Arabidopsis thaliana: one gene and its partner. The protein of the gene in region 1 interacts with the protein of each later gene in a biochemical or structural test. Each region holds a gene or a part of one and is shown in the gene's direction. Other genes may lie near its edges.

The links. The genes of interacting proteins can lie anywhere in the genome.
Region 2: the proteins of ckl3 (region 1) and CRY2 form a complex in vitro, tested with the Arabidopsis thaliana proteins (one study listed by BioGRID).

Annotation. Positions count from the first base shown.
Region 1 is NC_003075.7:14,248,181-14,257,133, forward strand, and holds ckl3 (casein kinase I-like 3), read left to right. Parts: upstream 1-2,954; 5' UTR 2,955-3,170; coding exon 3,171-3,246; intron 3,247-3,342; coding exon 3,343-3,383; intron 3,384-3,585; coding exon 3,586-3,655; intron 3,656-3,744; coding exon 3,745-3,893; intron 3,894-3,996; coding exon 3,997-4,092; intron 4,093-4,169; coding exon 4,170-4,240; intron 4,241-4,350; coding exon 4,351-4,412; intron 4,413-4,487; coding exon 4,488-4,551; intron 4,552-4,677; coding exon 4,678-4,762; intron 4,763-4,841; coding exon 4,842-4,968; intron 4,969-5,075; coding exon 5,076-5,152; intron 5,153-5,240; coding exon 5,241-5,298; intron 5,299-5,373; coding exon 5,374-5,510; intron 5,511-5,733; coding exon 5,734-5,868; 3' UTR 5,869-6,766; downstream 6,767-8,953. Other genes in the region: ckl4 (casein kinase I-like 4), read left to right, coding at 1-67, 241-298, 483-610, 877-1,017; AT4G28870 (mutator transposase MUDRA protein), read left to right, coding at 2,241-2,540; AT4G28890 (RING/U-box superfamily protein), read right to left, coding at 8,257-8,953. UniProt on the Arabidopsis thaliana protein: Protein kinase involved in blue light responses (e.g. hypocotyl elongation and flowering) by phosphorylating CRY2 to reduce its stability.
Region 2 is NC_003070.9:1,183,744-1,192,066, reverse strand, and holds CRY2 (cryptochrome 2), read left to right. Parts: upstream 1-3,370; 5' UTR 3,371-3,880; intron 3,881-3,993; exon of another isoform or gene 3,994-4,060; 5' UTR 4,061-4,165; coding exon 4,166-4,478; intron 4,479-4,582; coding exon 4,583-4,807; intron 4,808-4,902; coding exon 4,903-5,615; intron 5,616-5,760; coding exon 5,761-6,348; 3' UTR 6,349-6,555; downstream 6,556-8,323. Other genes in the region: AT1G04420 (NAD(P)-linked oxidoreductase superfamily protein), read right to left, coding at 33-128, 209-433; c-NAD-MDH1 (Lactate/malate dehydrogenase family protein), read left to right, coding at 800-842, 1,162-1,320, 1,427-1,602, 1,760-2,037, 2,127-2,262, 2,355-2,466, 2,555-2,649.

The DNA of each region.
Region 1 (8,953 bases):
TGACTATATATATGACTGGACTATTATAAAGTATCAGCAATCACAGAAAACTAGAAGTCAGTCTCAGGTATAGTTTATCAATACCATTTGTTATTTTTTTTTCTCCAGGTGTATGCATATTTTGTCTTGTTCATAGAGAAGATTTCCTGGGGAGAAGTTTTACTTGGTTTTGCTATTTTTTAGTTTTGGTGCTAAATATAGATATGCCTGTCTTCCTAACAATAAACTGTCATGCTGCAGGCCGTTCCTGGGTCTAGTAATGCTCGTGCAATACCAATGGACACAAGCAATCATCGAGGTCAGCTCGAGTTATAAATTTTAATTGTGTCACTTTCTGATTAATTTTGTAATAGTATATGATGTGTTTTTTGTTTTCTCTCGACTTTCACACTGGACTCAACTGGCATAGAGTGTTTGGCTGATTTAGTTTCCCGTTGCAACTGTTTATTTCAATATCTTGATGCTAACTCTCCGTTTGGCAGGAGGAACTAAGATTTCACATGAAGCCCAAGTCTCTGACCGTGTCAGACCGGCTAATGCCAGTGGTCCAAGCCCACAGATTAATACCGCTGTAGGGAGGAGTCTGGGTTTTGATCAAGTCCACAAGAATGTACGTGCTTATTCATTTGCCTCTTCCAAATAAATGTTGTATCCTGCAACCCTCCCCCTTGTGTTAGCATCTCATGCCTGCATCTGTGTTGCTTCAGAGTTCTGCATGGTTCTCTGCTTAAAGCTTTTACCTGTTTTGCATGGTCAATTGTCATCAACGAGCTCTATATTGTGATATGAACTACATATAGCATAAATGATTAAAACACGATACTGATCATCACGAAATATGCTCTTGACCATTATTTTACTGAAAACCCATTGCAGATGAACATGCCATCATCCACTTCATTATCTCCTGCGGGTACCTCAAAAAGAAATGTCAGACCCGAAACCTCAAATTCTGGGTTTGGGAGCGGGAATAAAACCGGCGGTTGGACTTCACCATTCATGTCACCGGGGAAATGATGCAAAAAAAGTTGGAGTATATCATTCATCTGATCTGCTGAGCAAGATTATGTGTGCCTTTGGGTCTAAACTGTGATTTCTGCAGTGAAAAGCTCTAGACTGAGGTTGAAGATCTGAATGGAGTTTTTCCATGAACAGCTTACTGTTTGACAAAAGGCATGAAGATTATGTTTGCTTTCCTTCAAGATTCTCACAAATGACTGACTTCAACCTTTGTATAAAATCTTGCAACCGGGCGTGTAATTTGGTTCTTGTGATTCATTCTCCCAAGTTTTCTTCTATAAAACTTTGTTCGTATTTCTGTACGTAGTTCCCTGTGTTGGGGCATAACCTGGGTTTGCTGTGTCATCAACATTGTTTGCAGAAAATCAAGAGCAAAGCATGAGCAGCTTCAGCAGAGATGCCTTCAAAGGCTTGAGTCAAGAGTTGCTTGTGGCAGGGACATGTCACCATCAAGCTAATGTGCAGCTGACGAGAACGTAAAAGGATAAGCTATGGCTAGCTTCTGGAATGCTCCGAGAAACACTTCCCCCTTTTTTTTTCTCTGAATTTCCTATTCAGTTTAATGGTATTCTGTGTTTGATTTTTCTTACTCGATTTTGTGCATTGAAAAAAATTATATCAAAAAGCTTGACTTGATCCAAACATGCATTTTCAATTGCTATTATTAAAAAAAAAAAACGTATAAAATTGTAGTCTCAATATTGAAATACAAACACCTAGAATTGATCGATTTGGTAGAGAACTAGTTAGTGGATTAAATTTGGGTTGGCTGATTTTCGAGCCATAAACTATTTCGATTCTCAGCTTTCACACCCGGACTTTTGGGCCTTTAAATTTCCACCATCAACTTTCATATTCCCAAAATTACATCATCTATTTTTGGATTCATGCTTAAACATACATTTCCAATTGAACCATTCATTTAACCGGGATTAACCACAAATCCGCGTTTACTGTACCGCGATTGCGATTAACCCAACTAATACCCAGACCCGTTAAGAAAACGACGTCGTTTTCATTTCGTTTAACTCATCAAAAAGAGAAAGAAAACGACGTCGTTTTCATTCTTCTTCTTTAACTCTCAAATCGATTTAGTCGTTCTTCTTTAATCTCGACACTGTGAAATTAGGGTTCTTGAGAGAGAAAGACAAAAGGGGATTTGGGGTTTTCTTCTTCGGTTCGAATTTTTGGGTCTCGATTTGGGTTTCGAATAGGGAGAAATGAAGAATTGGTGGGAGGAAAGATTGATTTACCAAAGCGATCCAGATGACCCCGATTTCGAACCTCCAGAGAGTGACATTGAAGCCGACGATGGAAGTGATAGTGGTGATAGCGGAGTCGAGGAGGACGAAGCCACCAGAATCGAGGGAGAGGACGTCGGGATAGATGGAGACAGAGCTTCTGATGGAGAGGAAAATAGAGAAGACGATGGTGACATAGCGTCTGATGGAGACGTCAATCTAGAAGACGATGGAGACAGAGATGAAAGTCAAAAGAAGAGGACTACCAAATCGATTTGAGAGTTAAAGAAGAAGAATGAAAACGACGTCGTTTTCTTAACGGGTCTGGGTATTAGTCGGGTTAATCACAATCGCGGTACAGTAAACGCGGATTTGTGGTTAATCCCGGTTAAATGAATGGTTCAATTGAAAATGTATGTTTAATCATGAATTCGAAAGTAGATGATGTAATTTTGAGGAATATGAAAATTGATGGTGGAAATTTAAGGGCCCAAAAATCCGGGAGTGAAAACTAAGAATCGAAATAGTTTATGACTCGAAAATCAGCCAACCCATTAAATTTTCGAACCTTCATCATTTTGCAGACCCCAAAAACGGAAATCATCAAATCATCCACCGTGCCAGCGTGACATTACAAAATCACGTAAATACCCTCGTGTTTGTTTATAAGGTAAAAAAAGATTGGCGGACCCAAAATGGTGCAGTAGTTAGGTGTACAAATTTTTTTTTGAAGGATCACTACTACGGCTCAAACAAGCCTGGGTCCATGTCACTACCACCGATGTCAGTCAAACAAAAATAATAATATATGTTTTTAAGTTCCTCTAATTTCAATCTTCTAAACAACAACCCTAAATCCTTATCTCTATCCTTGCGCTTGATCCAGATTCGGTTCTGATTGGAGCTGCCATGGAACGCATCATCGGCGGCAAGTACAAGCTCGGACGGAAGATCGGCGGTGGTTCGTTCGGAGAGATTTTTCTAGGTTTTGTGTTCTCCTCTGTTCTTGTCCCTTTGGTTTTCCGAGTTTGCTTTTTTATTTGAAATTGACGCTCTTCTCTTCTGTTTGTTGTTTTCGCAGCTACGCACGTCGATACCTTCGAGATCGTAGCTGTTAAGATCGTAAGTCCCAGCTCAATTTGCCTTGAGACGAATTGAATCCATCCAATCTGGAGATTTGATTTGGATCTGCTATGTCTCTTAATTGATTTTGTTTGAATTGCTTTACTCTAAAATTGAGCAAGGTTTTAAACTCGGTGCTTTTTAGCTGCAATATATTCTTCAAGCTAACACTTGTTTTTAATTCAATCATTTTCTCTTGCAGGAGAACAGTAAAACAAAGCATCCTCAACTTCTCTATGAAGCTAAGCTATATAGAATTCTTGAAGGAGGAAGTATGATTCTCTTTCCTCTCTTTTCTCAGTTGTTGGACATTGGAGGGATTCATTAGCAGTACAATACTAATTTTTATGTTATGTGTCAGGTGGAATTCCGCGCATAAAATGGTTTGGAGTTGATGGAACAGAGAATGCTTTAGTGATGGATTTGCTCGGTCCAAGTCTCGAAGATCTTTTCGTCTACTGTGGGAGGAAATTCTCACCAAAGACAGTCTTGATGTTGGCTGATCAAATGGTATGGCATGACTTTCAACTATTCATTAGGCTATTTATAATATCTGTTGACTTATACATTGATTATCTAATGTGCTTCCGATTTTCTTATCCCGCTGTTACAGCTAACAAGAATAGAATTTGTACATTCGAAAGGATATCTGCATAGAGATATTAAACCCGATAACTTCCTCATGGGCCTAGGTCGGAAAGCAAATCAGGTATATTTCTGCAACTTCTTATCTTCATCAGATGCCATAAGTAGAGTATGGTATGATTGATAAGTCTCATTTTTCAGGTTTATCTAATTGACTTTGGACTTGCCAAAAGATATCGGGATGCCAACACCAACCGCCACATCCCTTACAGGTATTGTGGCCTTGGTTCAATATACAGATTGTAAATGATCTATCTGTTTTTAAGTTTTACGGTCACGTTAATCATTATACAACTTATTTCCTTTATTCGGCTATATTCAGGGAAAACAAGAATTTAACAGGAACTGCACGATATGCAAGTTGCAATACACATCTTGGAATTGGTAAGAAATGCTGGCATTCTTTATCCTTATGTAAAAGTAAATCGCTTTTGCTCATATTTTGGGTTCTCTTCACAGAGCAAAGTCGACGGGATGATCTAGAATCGCTGGGATATGTGCTTCTGTATTTCCTAAGAGGAAGGTGTGTTGTCTTTTTGAAAGAAACTAGTTAACATTATGTTATTTCGCAGGGTATTTCTATTCCTTGTTTTTAGAGATTTACTTAACTGTTTTTTGTGTTCCTCATTTCATGAACGTCCTTTTCTAGTCTTCCATGGCAGGGTCTTAAGGCTGTTGACAAGAAGCAAAAGTATGATAAAATCTGTGAGAAGAAGATATCAACTCCCATTGAGGTATGTTTCCCTATTGTGTGATTGATTCTTTTTTTGTTAATCCTCATTCGACTAAGTATATATCGATATCCCATTGCAGGTGCTATGCAAAAATCACCCTGTGGAGTTTGCATCATATTTTCATTACTGCCATACACTGACATTTGATCAGCGCCCAGATTATGGATTCTTGAAGCGGCTTTTTCGTGATTTATTTTCGCGGGAAGGTAGGTACTTTGGATAAAGACATCTCTTCATCATTCATAGTTCACTCAGCTGATAAGGTTCACCGGCATCATCTACCTACCTCACTATTATATGTTCTCTTTTGCAGGATATGAGTTCGACTATATATTTGACTGGACTATCATAAAGTATCAACAAGCACAGAAATCTAGAAATCAGTCTCAGGTATAGTTTTCAATGTTTTCTCAATCTTAATTTGCTGCTGTGTCACCTTTCTTGTTACTAACAAAAAGTATTGTCATTTCTACTGCAGGCAGTTCCTGGGTCTAGCAATCCTCGTGCAATGCCAGTGGACACAAGCAATCATCGGGGTTAGCTCTAATTAATAGCTTGTTGTTGCAATTGTTTATTTTGAAATCTCTGTTTTCTGACGCTCTGTTTGGCAGGAGGACCAAATATTTCTTATGAAGCCGAGGCCTCTGAACGCGTCAGATCGGCTAATGCCATTGGTCCAAGCCCACAGATAAATAATAATACTGCTGCAGGGAGGACTCCGGGGTTTGATCACCCTGTCCACAAGAATGTACGTATTTCTGCATTTGCCTCTTCCAAAGAACCGTTTTATTCTGCAAACTCGTTGCTTGTGTTAGCATGTCATGTATAGTATTACTCTCAGAACACTTCATGGTTCCCTGAAAACTGATTTTACCAGTATCGCTTTGTCAATTGTCATGAATTAATGAAACAATATATTGATCTTCGAGATGAGTTCCCTTGACTGTTATTTTACTGAAAACCCATTGCAGATGAACATGCCATCCACTTCATTATCTCCTGCGGGTACCTCAAAAAGAAATGTCGGACCCGAAACCTCAAATTCTGGATATGGGAGTGGGAATAGAACTGGTTGGACTTCGTCATTCATGTCTCCAGAGAAATGATGCAAAGAAAATGTAGCTTTTTCCTGAAATGGTGAGTGAGATGATGCGCTGTTAATGTGACTCCGTGCCCTTAATTCACCTCTGAAACTACAGCAGAAATCAGAACTTGGTGTCACTAACACCTTTGTATCTCCTCCACCTTTGGCTGGAAGAAAGATGCAATGGTTTCTATGTAAATTCTCTGAAGTGTGTGTGGACAAGAAGGCGTTGGTTGAAGCATTTGTGTTTACACACACAAGACATGAAAGTGTATGTGTGCTTTTCATTCAAAGATTTCCCCCAACCTTTGTATAATTCTTACACCCGGATGTGTAATCTTGTTATGTGATTCATACATATCATTTTTAGCTACTCTTTGCTATGTGATCAATGACCTTTTGCTGCAGCTTGATATATGTATACATGTTAATGGATAGCGTCATTCTTTGCAGAAATCCAGAGCCAAGCTTGAGCTGAGATGAGTCTTCAAAAGGCTTAGCAATGCACAGGTTTCTTTCACAGACGCCCAAGTTCGATTCTTATTTTTGTGCAATTGATTTATGAGGAAAGATTTTGAGAGTCAACATGGGATTCAAATAACTCGGAGACAGTGAGTAAGAAACTATTCTGGGAGAGAATAAAATGTTTGAGAGCTCATGAAGCCAGTTGAAAAACGATTTGATGCGCTCGGTCGGAGAAATCATCATCATGGAAGAGGCAGGTGACCAGGTGTAGGTTGTATTTGTACAGCTGTAATGGAAACCTATCTTAGGCCATAAGGGAAAATCCAATTTGTGTAAACTAAAGTAAGTTTGTCTTAAATTTCTTCATAGTGTTTAGTAATTAGTATCATATACTCTTCAATATTTGCTTTTAAATATTTCTGTTATCTTTATATATTGTGAAAATTGAAATCAAATCCAGACGGAACCTAAGTAATTGAAAACCAAAACAAAAATTAAATTGAAAGTAATTTACTACAATTTGAATTAAGCTACATCATTATTGTTTTTAAACGAAAATTTGATCCGATACCAACTCCAAAGAAGACTGAACTCTACTAGAAAGAAAGGGGCGTTATTCTAAAACAGGTCCATATTCAACCTAATACACCTATAATATAAAATAGTTTCGTTAGGTTCTATTTAATAATTTATTTTAAATTTAACTTCCATTCGTAATCGGCATAAGTTGGACCACATGATAAGTATGATGATGCAATGACTTGCTTTTTACATAACAACAATCTTTGGCCTCATCTACCTATTTCGCATTATAACATGTTCTTTGAATCGTTTCCCATTTTGTTTTTACATCATACAAACTTAAAAAGTTTCATCTACGGTGCTGCACCTGCACTCGAAGCAGCCCAGGTTCCATCGTGGTGTCCTTCGTTACAAAGTTAAGAAAGAGGTTCCAAAATAAGACATGAAAAAGAAGAAGGTGTTCCACTTATTTTTAAGACTGTTATATGCTTATATGAAGGACAAAATATACATCTATTTTAAGTTTAGTGGCATATAAATATATTACAAAGAAAAAATCAGAGGAGTCAGAATCCCACATCAGATAATTATAAATATATCTTATATGATTGGGCATATAATTTCATAATTGGTAACTGGAAAAAGAAAGTAAGATAATCAAAAGGAAATTGCTAGGTCTTGAATATAAAATTGTATATTAATAATCAAATTGGCTAATGTAGTGTTTGTTATGAAATTAAAATATTATTATTAGTAGTTAGTTGACCTACTTATATGTATTTTTGTAATCAATTACATGATTTAGTAATAATGTTCGTCCAAATAAAAGAATACAATTGTCAAGAGACAAAACCAAGAGTAGTTGTGTTTTATTTTGAATGAAAAGGAAAACTAAATAAATAGAGTTAGAAGCAATAATTCATATATCATATACAGTATGTGTGAGTGAGTTATGTGTGTATTAAAGTCTTAAAGTTATAAATGTATAATATATGATGCATTCATAACAAAATCATAACATGTAGCCAAGTTATTACTTTATTTGTAATAGTTGTGTATAATACATGTTGAACAAAAAATATTGCAGTAATAACAATGAAACTGAAAATGAGCCTGGTTGCTTCTGTAACCAGGTAAGCTGACATGTTCCTTATTGAAAACAATTATTGAGCTCTTTTTAAAATTAAATCCAGCAATAATTCAATCAATTCATATATTATAAGTCAAAGCTTTGTTTATACATAAATCTATCTTATTTACACAAATCAGCTTCGTTTGATCCAACTAACATGTATTAAGTATTAACATTAGTAGAATTCTCTGAACATAACTTAAAATCAAAACTTGTATCTACTAATTATGGGAAAATAGTCTCAAATTGAATCTGAAAAAGAATTGCAAATTTTTAAGAAAAATAAAGAAACTAAACATCAAAGTGTTGGTGTGTTGTGTTAATTTGACTTCTTTTTTCTCTGTTAGCAAACCATTGAGCAGTTTTTCTAGCGATCGGCAGCCACAAACGCCGTCTTCTCTCCTCCGTCTCATTCCCACCGTTTTGTAACGCAGACGCAGTCTCTGCGGCTGAACCGCTGCAATCTCCATGAATCGATATACTGAGTCTAGGAACCGCAGTGATGTCAGACACCGATCTTCGTCCTGGTTCGATCATAACGCTTCTTGATTTCGAACCAGAGTCTCCGTTTTCCGAGGAAAACATAGTTGTCATCGAAGTTAACTTGTTCTCCAACATTCTCTTCGCTTCCATCTCTTCCTTGATTCGCAAGATACCTATCTGATCCTCTTCATCTCCTCTCTTCACATGATCCAATGAAGAAAATCTCTCGCTAGAAATCGAATTAACCATCTCGGAATTCAAAAACATCAAATCTGATGAACTCACGTTGCTCCAACGATTCTTGAAAACAACATCCGACACAACGATCCTATGATTGAACTTGTGCATAAGCTTCTTCTCATCTTTATCGTTCACGTGTTCATCAAGTAACGTTTTTTCTTTATTACCTAATTTCAGAATCTTCCGGAAACTCTCTCCGATGCTGAATCTCGACGACCCACTAAGTTCTTCTCTGTGTATTCTTTCTTCTTCTTCTTCTCTCTCG
Region 2 (8,323 bases), on another chromosome or scaffold:
GAGAAAGATGAACAATGAAGATAAAAACTCACAGCTTCAGCAGTGTCAATGCAATTGATGCCCTCTTCAATTGCATAACTCAGCATCTCATGAGATTCTTTCTCAGTATTTTGCTCCCCAAATGTCATCTGAAATTCCAAATTTCATCAAAACTTCAAAATTGAACAATGGACTACAATTGCAGGAGATAAAGAGAGATTGTTCTTACAGTGCCCATAGTAACTTCGCTGATGTTGAGATCGGAATCTCCTAATTTCCTATACTCCATAGCATTCTTCGTCGACGCTTTCGCCGAAACTCTCAATATTCTCCTCCGAGCATTCGGCGATAGAGTAACACGGCGGCGCGTGAATGCCAAACGAAAGACTCCTCGAATGTTACTGCTGCTGACCACCGGAGTGACCGTTGAGTAGGTGACGTAAGATGACGCCATACCGGAGGTTGTCGTGGACGTGGTTCTTCTCGCCTTATCGCCACCATTATCTACTGTTTTGATTCACGTATTTGAATACTCTGGGCTAAACGATTTGGGCCTAATGTAAGAGGCCCATTAGAGTCAAAAATATATATTGAATAATATCTTGTTTTCCTAATATGATAGGTCTAATCTCAGATTTCGATTTATTTCTTCGAGATAATATGATTATATTAGATGACGTGGCGGTACATCCTTCGATATCTTCGATAAATACGCAAGAGTGAGCTTCACGGTCAGACAAAAGCTGACTCTACGCTCTCTCAAAAGTCGAATATCCCAAATTCGATCCGTTTTCCGGCGATAATCTCCGATCTAGATCCGATGGCGAAAGAACCAGTTCGTGTGCTCGTTACTGGAGCTGCAGGTATAACTTTCATCTATATCCGATTAGATCGTGTAACTTCTAGATCTCTGGCTAGTGAATCGCTTGCTGAATCTAGTCAGATCTCTGCATAGTATCTGGTTGTTCCATAGATCAATGAAATATAGGTCAACTCTTGTTCCGTTGGATTCAACGCTGACCAACGATTGATTGAGTTGGTCGCATATCTAATTTTAGTAAAAGTTATTTCATGGATCGAACTCTGATTTAGAAACCGTTGTTTATATAGTTGGATAGAGTTTAAGTTGTGACTTTAGATCTCCTCAGCTACTGAAAGTAACTATTGATTGTGATTATGCAGGACAAATCGGATATGCTCTTGTACCTATGATTGCAAGGGGTATCATGCTTGGTGCTGACCAACCTGTTATCCTCCACATGTTGGATATTCCTCCAGCTGCTGAAGCTTTGAACGGTGTTAAGATGGAGTTGATCGATGCTGCTTTCCCTCTTCTTAAAGGTAGTTAAGGGTTTTGTTTTGCTGTGGATATTTGCATTCCGTGTCATAAGTTGTTTTGTATAAGTGGGAAAGGAGAAGATGAATATTTGATGTGTATTATTATCAGGTGTTGTTGCTACAACTGATGCCGTTGAGGGATGTACTGGAGTCAATGTTGCTGTTATGGTTGGTGGTTTCCCGAGGAAAGAAGGTATGGAGAGGAAGGATGTGATGTCCAAGAATGTTTCCATCTACAAGTCTCAGGCTGCTGCCTTGGAGAAGCATGCCGCTCCTAACTGCAAGGTGATACGATCTGTTTGCTTTTTAAGTTAAATGAAGCCACTGCATCCAATCTTCTCTGTTCATTGGAGTGTAACAGATGCTTTGTGTTCTCTATTGGGTTCTAGTTTACGACTCTCTTGCTCACACATTCGCTCTCGTTTTGTCTTTTTTTTTTCAGGTTCTTGTTGTGGCCAACCCGGCAAACACCAACGCATTGATCCTCAAGGAATTTGCACCATCAATCCCTGAAAAGAACATCTCTTGTTTGACAAGGCTTGACCACAACAGGGCTTTGGGACAGATCTCTGAGAGGTTGAGCGTGCCAGTGTCTGATGTTAAGAACGTGATCATCTGGGGAAACCACTCATCCTCACAGTACCCAGATGTCAACCATGCTAAAGTGCAGACCTCGTCTGGAGAGAAGCCTGTCCGTGAGCTCGTCAAGGACGATGCATGGTATGTATAACATGCCATAGAACTTAAGACCCTTTCTCTTCTCTGGAAGCAAAATCTAGTTTCACTTAAATATATTGCTCATTCTGTAGGTTGGACGGAGAATTTATCTCTACAGTTCAACAACGTGGAGCTGCAATCATCAAGGCGAGGAAGTTGTCTAGTGCGCTCTCTGCTGCTAGCTCTGCTTGTGACCACATCCGTGACTGGGTCCTTGGAACTCCAGAGGTTCATAATAAAACTCTTCCCCGTTATTTGCAGTGCTGTTTTTTTGTAACAGTTAATCTAATATGAGTTCTTTCTTTGATTCAAATTGTCAGGGTACGTTCGTTTCCATGGGAGTATACTCCGATGGCTCTTACAGCGTTCCATCAGGACTTATCTACTCCTTCCCTGTAACTTGTCGCAATGGAGACTGGAGTATTGTCCAAGGTAAATATGACGCACTTACAAACTCAAATGCTCATCAATTATGAAATCCTAGATTCTGCAGACCCTAATGTGTATTTTGTTTGGTTAGGCCTTCCGATTGATGAAGTATCAAGGAAGAAGATGGATTTGACTGCAGAGGAGCTCAAGGAAGAGAAGGACTTGGCGTACTCATGCCTCTCTTAAACCCTTCTGGAGCAAAATTTTCATCTATAAGGTGTGAGATCAGTTAAAGCCTTTCAGGGCTTTGTCCGAATAAGAAGTGTGTTTGAAAGATCTCCAAACACTGTTTTATAACCTCTTTGGTCTCTTTGATGAGTATTGTCCCTGGTCTGTTTCTAAACCAGGATATCGTTTTTTTCAATGTGTCTGATTTGGTTTACCCATGAAAAGAAGAAAATTGGCAGTTGCATGGTTATCTTTTGCGATTATTTTTTTCTGCTTTAGCAATTAGCCCAAAATTGATGAGCTCTTCGATAATGGGTTTGTGCAATTGTGATTTGTGAGGAATGGTGTTATTGTGTTGCAATTGCAAAAAGAAATGCTACTCTTGCAGATTCATACCAAAACCAAATCACTAGATTAAACTGAAATTCTAATGTGGATTATTTTAATTTTACTTCTATTTTTCTTCACCCAAATATTTTATAACCAAACACCAAGTTGACACCAAAATATACATCCAAAAAACTTAGATTGCTTCTATTTTACGACTATCCGAAATCGAATCATAAACCGTAGGCAATGGTCCATTAATAAGGGGTATACGAGGATTCAAAGTTTGAGAGAACTTTTTTATCTTTACCTTTTTCCTTTTGTAAAGTAAAAGCAGTGGATTTTGATTATAGATTCTACTTGGTAATGACTAATGAGAATCAAGTTCTCACCTTTAAGCCATATAGACTTTAGATATTTAATGGATTCTACAAAAGTGGGCATGACCAGAATCGAGTTCATGAACCACCGTCCTCGGCCCCAACGTTAAAAAACTTTTTTCTCTAGCATAAGAAGATAAGAGTATCTTCACTGCGCTTTAGGCCCACTCAACATTCAAACAAAATTCGATCTCTTATAAAAAAATATCTCACAAGAGAAAGTTCGTACATGATCCCGATAAAATCGTAGATGAGCAAATCAAAGATGAGATGTCGGTAAAAAAAACGCTATTATAAGAACACACGCCACTAGTTGTGGATAAAGTTGTCTACTTTTGTCTCGTTGTGATTATTATATTGCACAATTATTAACATTCATACTCTCATATGGGTATTGTTTTTGGTCTCCGTTAGATCTCAAATCTTTAACTTTGCATACCCAAAATAGGAAGAAAGAAGAGTCAAGTCACTAAAATAACTTTCACAGTCTTTGATTCGAAGATCTTTGTCGCCGAGAGATATCCACTCTGATTTGAGTTCTGGTAAAAAGTTTCCAGCTTTTGATTTTTGTTTCTCTCAATTGAATTTCTCTTGCTTGCTCTGTTTAAAAGGATTAGGATTAAATCGAATCTCTCTCTGTTATGTTTTTTTGTAGATTATTTTGGATTTTAGGACTCAAAGATTACAGATTTCTTATCAATCATTCTCTGTTATTGTTATAGAACTATTCTCTGGAGGAGGTTGAGGTCTGAAATCATGGAACAACTTGGTTAGAGTGTGGAATTTTAGCTGATTTGATCTTTGATTCATCTGTGATCATAATAACTATGAAGATGGACAAAAAGACTATAGTTTGGTTTAGAAGAGACCTAAGGATTGAGGATAATCCTGCATTAGCAGCAGCTGCTCACGAAGGATCTGTTTTTCCTGTCTTCATTTGGTGTCCTGAAGAAGAAGGACAGTTTTATCCTGGAAGAGCTTCAAGATGGTGGATGAAACAATCACTTGCTCACTTATCTCAATCCTTGAAGGCTCTTGGATCTGACCTCACTTTAATCAAAACCCACAACACGATTTCAGCGATCTTGGATTGTATCCGCGTTACCGGTGCTACAAAAGTCGTCTTTAACCACCTCTATGGTATATACTCTTTCATCTCTTATTCAAAGGATATATATTCTTATTAAGTTAGTGTAGTCTAAGTGCAACTGAGGTTGATGCGATCACGTTTTTCTTTGTTGTAGATCCTGTTTCGTTAGTTCGGGACCATACCGTAAAGGAGAAGCTGGTGGAACGTGGGATCTCTGTGCAAAGCTACAATGGAGATCTATTGTATGAACCGTGGGAGATATACTGCGAAAAGGGCAAACCTTTTACGAGTTTCAATTCTTACTGGAAGAAATGCTTAGATATGTCGATTGAATCCGTTATGCTTCCTCCTCCTTGGCGGTTGATGCCAATAACTGCAGGTAAAACCTTAAAGAGTATTACTTAAAAGCTAAAACGTTTTTGATTTCTTCAGGACATAAGCGGTAGTAAAAGTTTATGGCTTTTTCTTTGTTAGCGGCTGAAGCGATTTGGGCGTGTTCGATTGAAGAACTAGGGCTGGAGAATGAGGCCGAGAAACCGAGCAATGCGTTGTTAACTAGAGCTTGGTCTCCAGGATGGAGCAATGCTGATAAGTTACTAAATGAGTTCATCGAGAAGCAGTTGATAGATTATGCAAAGAACAGCAAGAAAGTTGTTGGGAATTCTACTTCACTACTTTCTCCGTATCTCCATTTCGGGGAAATAAGCGTCAGACACGTTTTCCAGTGTGCCCGGATGAAACAAATTATATGGGCAAGAGATAAGAACAGTGAAGGAGAAGAAAGTGCAGATCTTTTTCTTAGGGGAATCGGTTTAAGAGAGTATTCTCGGTATATATGTTTCAACTTCCCGTTTACTCACGAGCAATCGTTGTTGAGTCATCTTCGGTTTTTCCCTTGGGATGCTGATGTTGATAAGTTCAAGGCCTGGAGACAAGGCAGGACCGGTTATCCGTTGGTGGATGCCGGAATGAGAGAGCTTTGGGCTACCGGATGGATGCATAACAGAATAAGAGTGATTGTTTCAAGCTTTGCTGTGAAGTTTCTTCTCCTTCCATGGAAATGGGGAATGAAGTATTTCTGGGATACACTTTTGGATGCTGATTTGGAATGTGACATCCTTGGCTGGCAGTATATCTCTGGGAGTATCCCCGATGGCCACGAGCTTGATCGCTTGGACAATCCCGCGGTAAACTACAAAACTTGTCTTATAGTTTAGAATTCAAAGCTTAATACCAGTTTTTGCTATGCATTCGTTTTTTATTTTATTTTTCAGCTTATTTGGTTTGGTTGATTTAGTTCTGAAGTCTATGAAAACTCTGTTTTTATTTCAGTTACAAGGCGCCAAATATGACCCAGAAGGTGAGTACATAAGGCAATGGCTTCCCGAGCTTGCGAGATTGCCAACTGAATGGATCCATCATCCATGGGACGCTCCTTTAACCGTACTCAAAGCTTCTGGTGTGGAACTCGGAACAAACTATGCGAAACCCATTGTAGACATCGACACAGCTCGTGAGCTACTAGCTAAAGCTATTTCAAGAACCCGTGAAGCACAGATCATGATCGGAGCAGCACCTGATGAGATTGTAGCAGATAGCTTCGAGGCCTTAGGGGCTAATACCATTAAAGAACCTGGTCTTTGCCCATCTGTGTCTTCTAATGACCAACAAGTACCTTCGGCTGTTCGTTACAACGGGTCAAAGAGAGTGAAACCTGAGGAAGAAGAAGAGAGAGACATGAAGAAATCTAGGGGATTCGATGAAAGGGAGTTGTTTTCGACTGCTGAATCTTCTTCTTCTTCGAGTGTGTTTTTCGTTTCGCAGTCTTGCTCGTTGGCATCAGAAGGGAAGAATCTGGAAGGTATTCAAGATTCATCTGATCAGATTACTACAAGTTTGGGAAAAAATGGTTGCAAATGATCAAAATAATGTGCTGTTATAAAGCCTAACATGTAGATGTGTGAATGTGTCTTTTAACTCTTTGTTTCCTTTTGGTTATACTCAAAAGGATATGATTGCATAAACATATAATGCTGATATTATTTCAATTGGCTATGAATAAAATATACATATTTGTTTAGTCTTTGAATTTGTTTCATCTGAGTTGTTTAGTTTGAGGAAAAAGATAACGGCCAATTTATATTTCTTTATAAAGAAAAGAAAGGAAATCTCGATACACGACGTTTTTATATGAAACAAATGCAGTTGGAAATAAAAGTAACAAATCATTGGTCTAAAAACCCCAATGAAAAATAGTAACTAAATGACTGAATACTACGGTAAGATTTTTTTAATTTCTATAAAAATATAAGATTTTTTTTGATGATTAAAATATTTTTTTATAATCAATTACAAATAATTATCATATCTTGAAAACAACAAGAATTTTTTTGATATAATAAAAATATTAAATTAAATTACAAAAATAAACGATACTAGAATTATATTTCATTGAAATTTCTTATATATATATATAGCTGATATTTTAATACAATTATTAATTTATGATATTGATGGGACTATATGTTTACATAGGATTTTCAAAAAAAAAATATTTTATTAATTTATCGATTTGTATCGCTTTTTACACTAGTCCCAAATACTGAAAGAATTTATTATTTTATAAAAATGATTAATTTATCGAATATTAATTTATAAAGGTTTTACTGTACTTGCATGGCACAACAACGAGAAAAAGTCCACGCGATAAAGCTTCAATGTCAGGAATCATCAGGCGTCGAAATGTTTGACAATGGCATCGGTTTCGTCCAGAGAGGAGTCGACGGGGCCTGGATGAGGGTCGACGTAATCGGAATTGTCGTGGAAAAGAGAGTAGAAGCAAGATCCGATTCGGATAACGTCTTCTTTACTATCAGTTTTGGTTCGTAACCATTATTTTTAATCATCAACCCCTCGAGTCACATCGGTGATGTCTCCGTCTACGAGGAGAAAAATGAAGAGACGATGAAAAGAAAGAGATGATTGCTATATAGGGGGTTCAAATGATAATTATATACGATAATTAGTTTTCTTCTCGAAAAAAGAAAAAGAAATGATAATTAACGAATTATCTTACTTATTTTGTTTGGATAAAATACATATAACCCTTTCTTTTCCAAATTATTTACAACAATACCAATTTTGAATTATTTTGGAAACAGTTAAAAACAAAATAAGTGAATAAAAATATGAATTAAGAGACTAGAAGAAACCCAATATAAATCCCTACGATTTCAAAACCAACCCTAGCTGCGCAGTCGTCGCCTCCGTCGCTGCACTGTCTAGCCGCTTATGTCCTTCTGGGACCCTTGTCTCTATTTGTTCATCTTCTAGAGCGACGACTTCTAAAACCCTAATTCTGCTCGCGATCTCTTCATCGTTTCTCCCGTCTGTTCATCTTCTCCGACGATTTCAGCAATCCTTGCTCCTCAAGTATCATTCATTCATTAGTAAACTTAACTCTGAACACTTTACAACACTAATAATCTCTTAAGATGATGCTCACACTAATTACTCGATCTCCTTGTATTTATGTTACTCACACACTCTTGTTAAGACTCAAACAACTTCTTCTCCCTCCGGTTTGATGTATCTCCTGTTATAAAGATTAAAGACATAAACGTGGGTCGTTGTCTCTTTTTCTTCAAGCTAGTCAACGAGCTAAATAATGTTCAAACATAGATATGTGAATGTGTGTCTTTTAACTCTAAATTTCTTTTACTGATTTTATTCATAAGGAAATGAGTGCATAATAATGCTGATAAATTTCAGTTTACACTACAATTTTTTTAAGGAAAACATTTTTTGAATTGCGTGATGATTTTTTAAAAATTATTTCGGGTTTATTAATTTTATAATTGTTTGGGAATAGAAATATGCGAATTAGTTTGGAAGA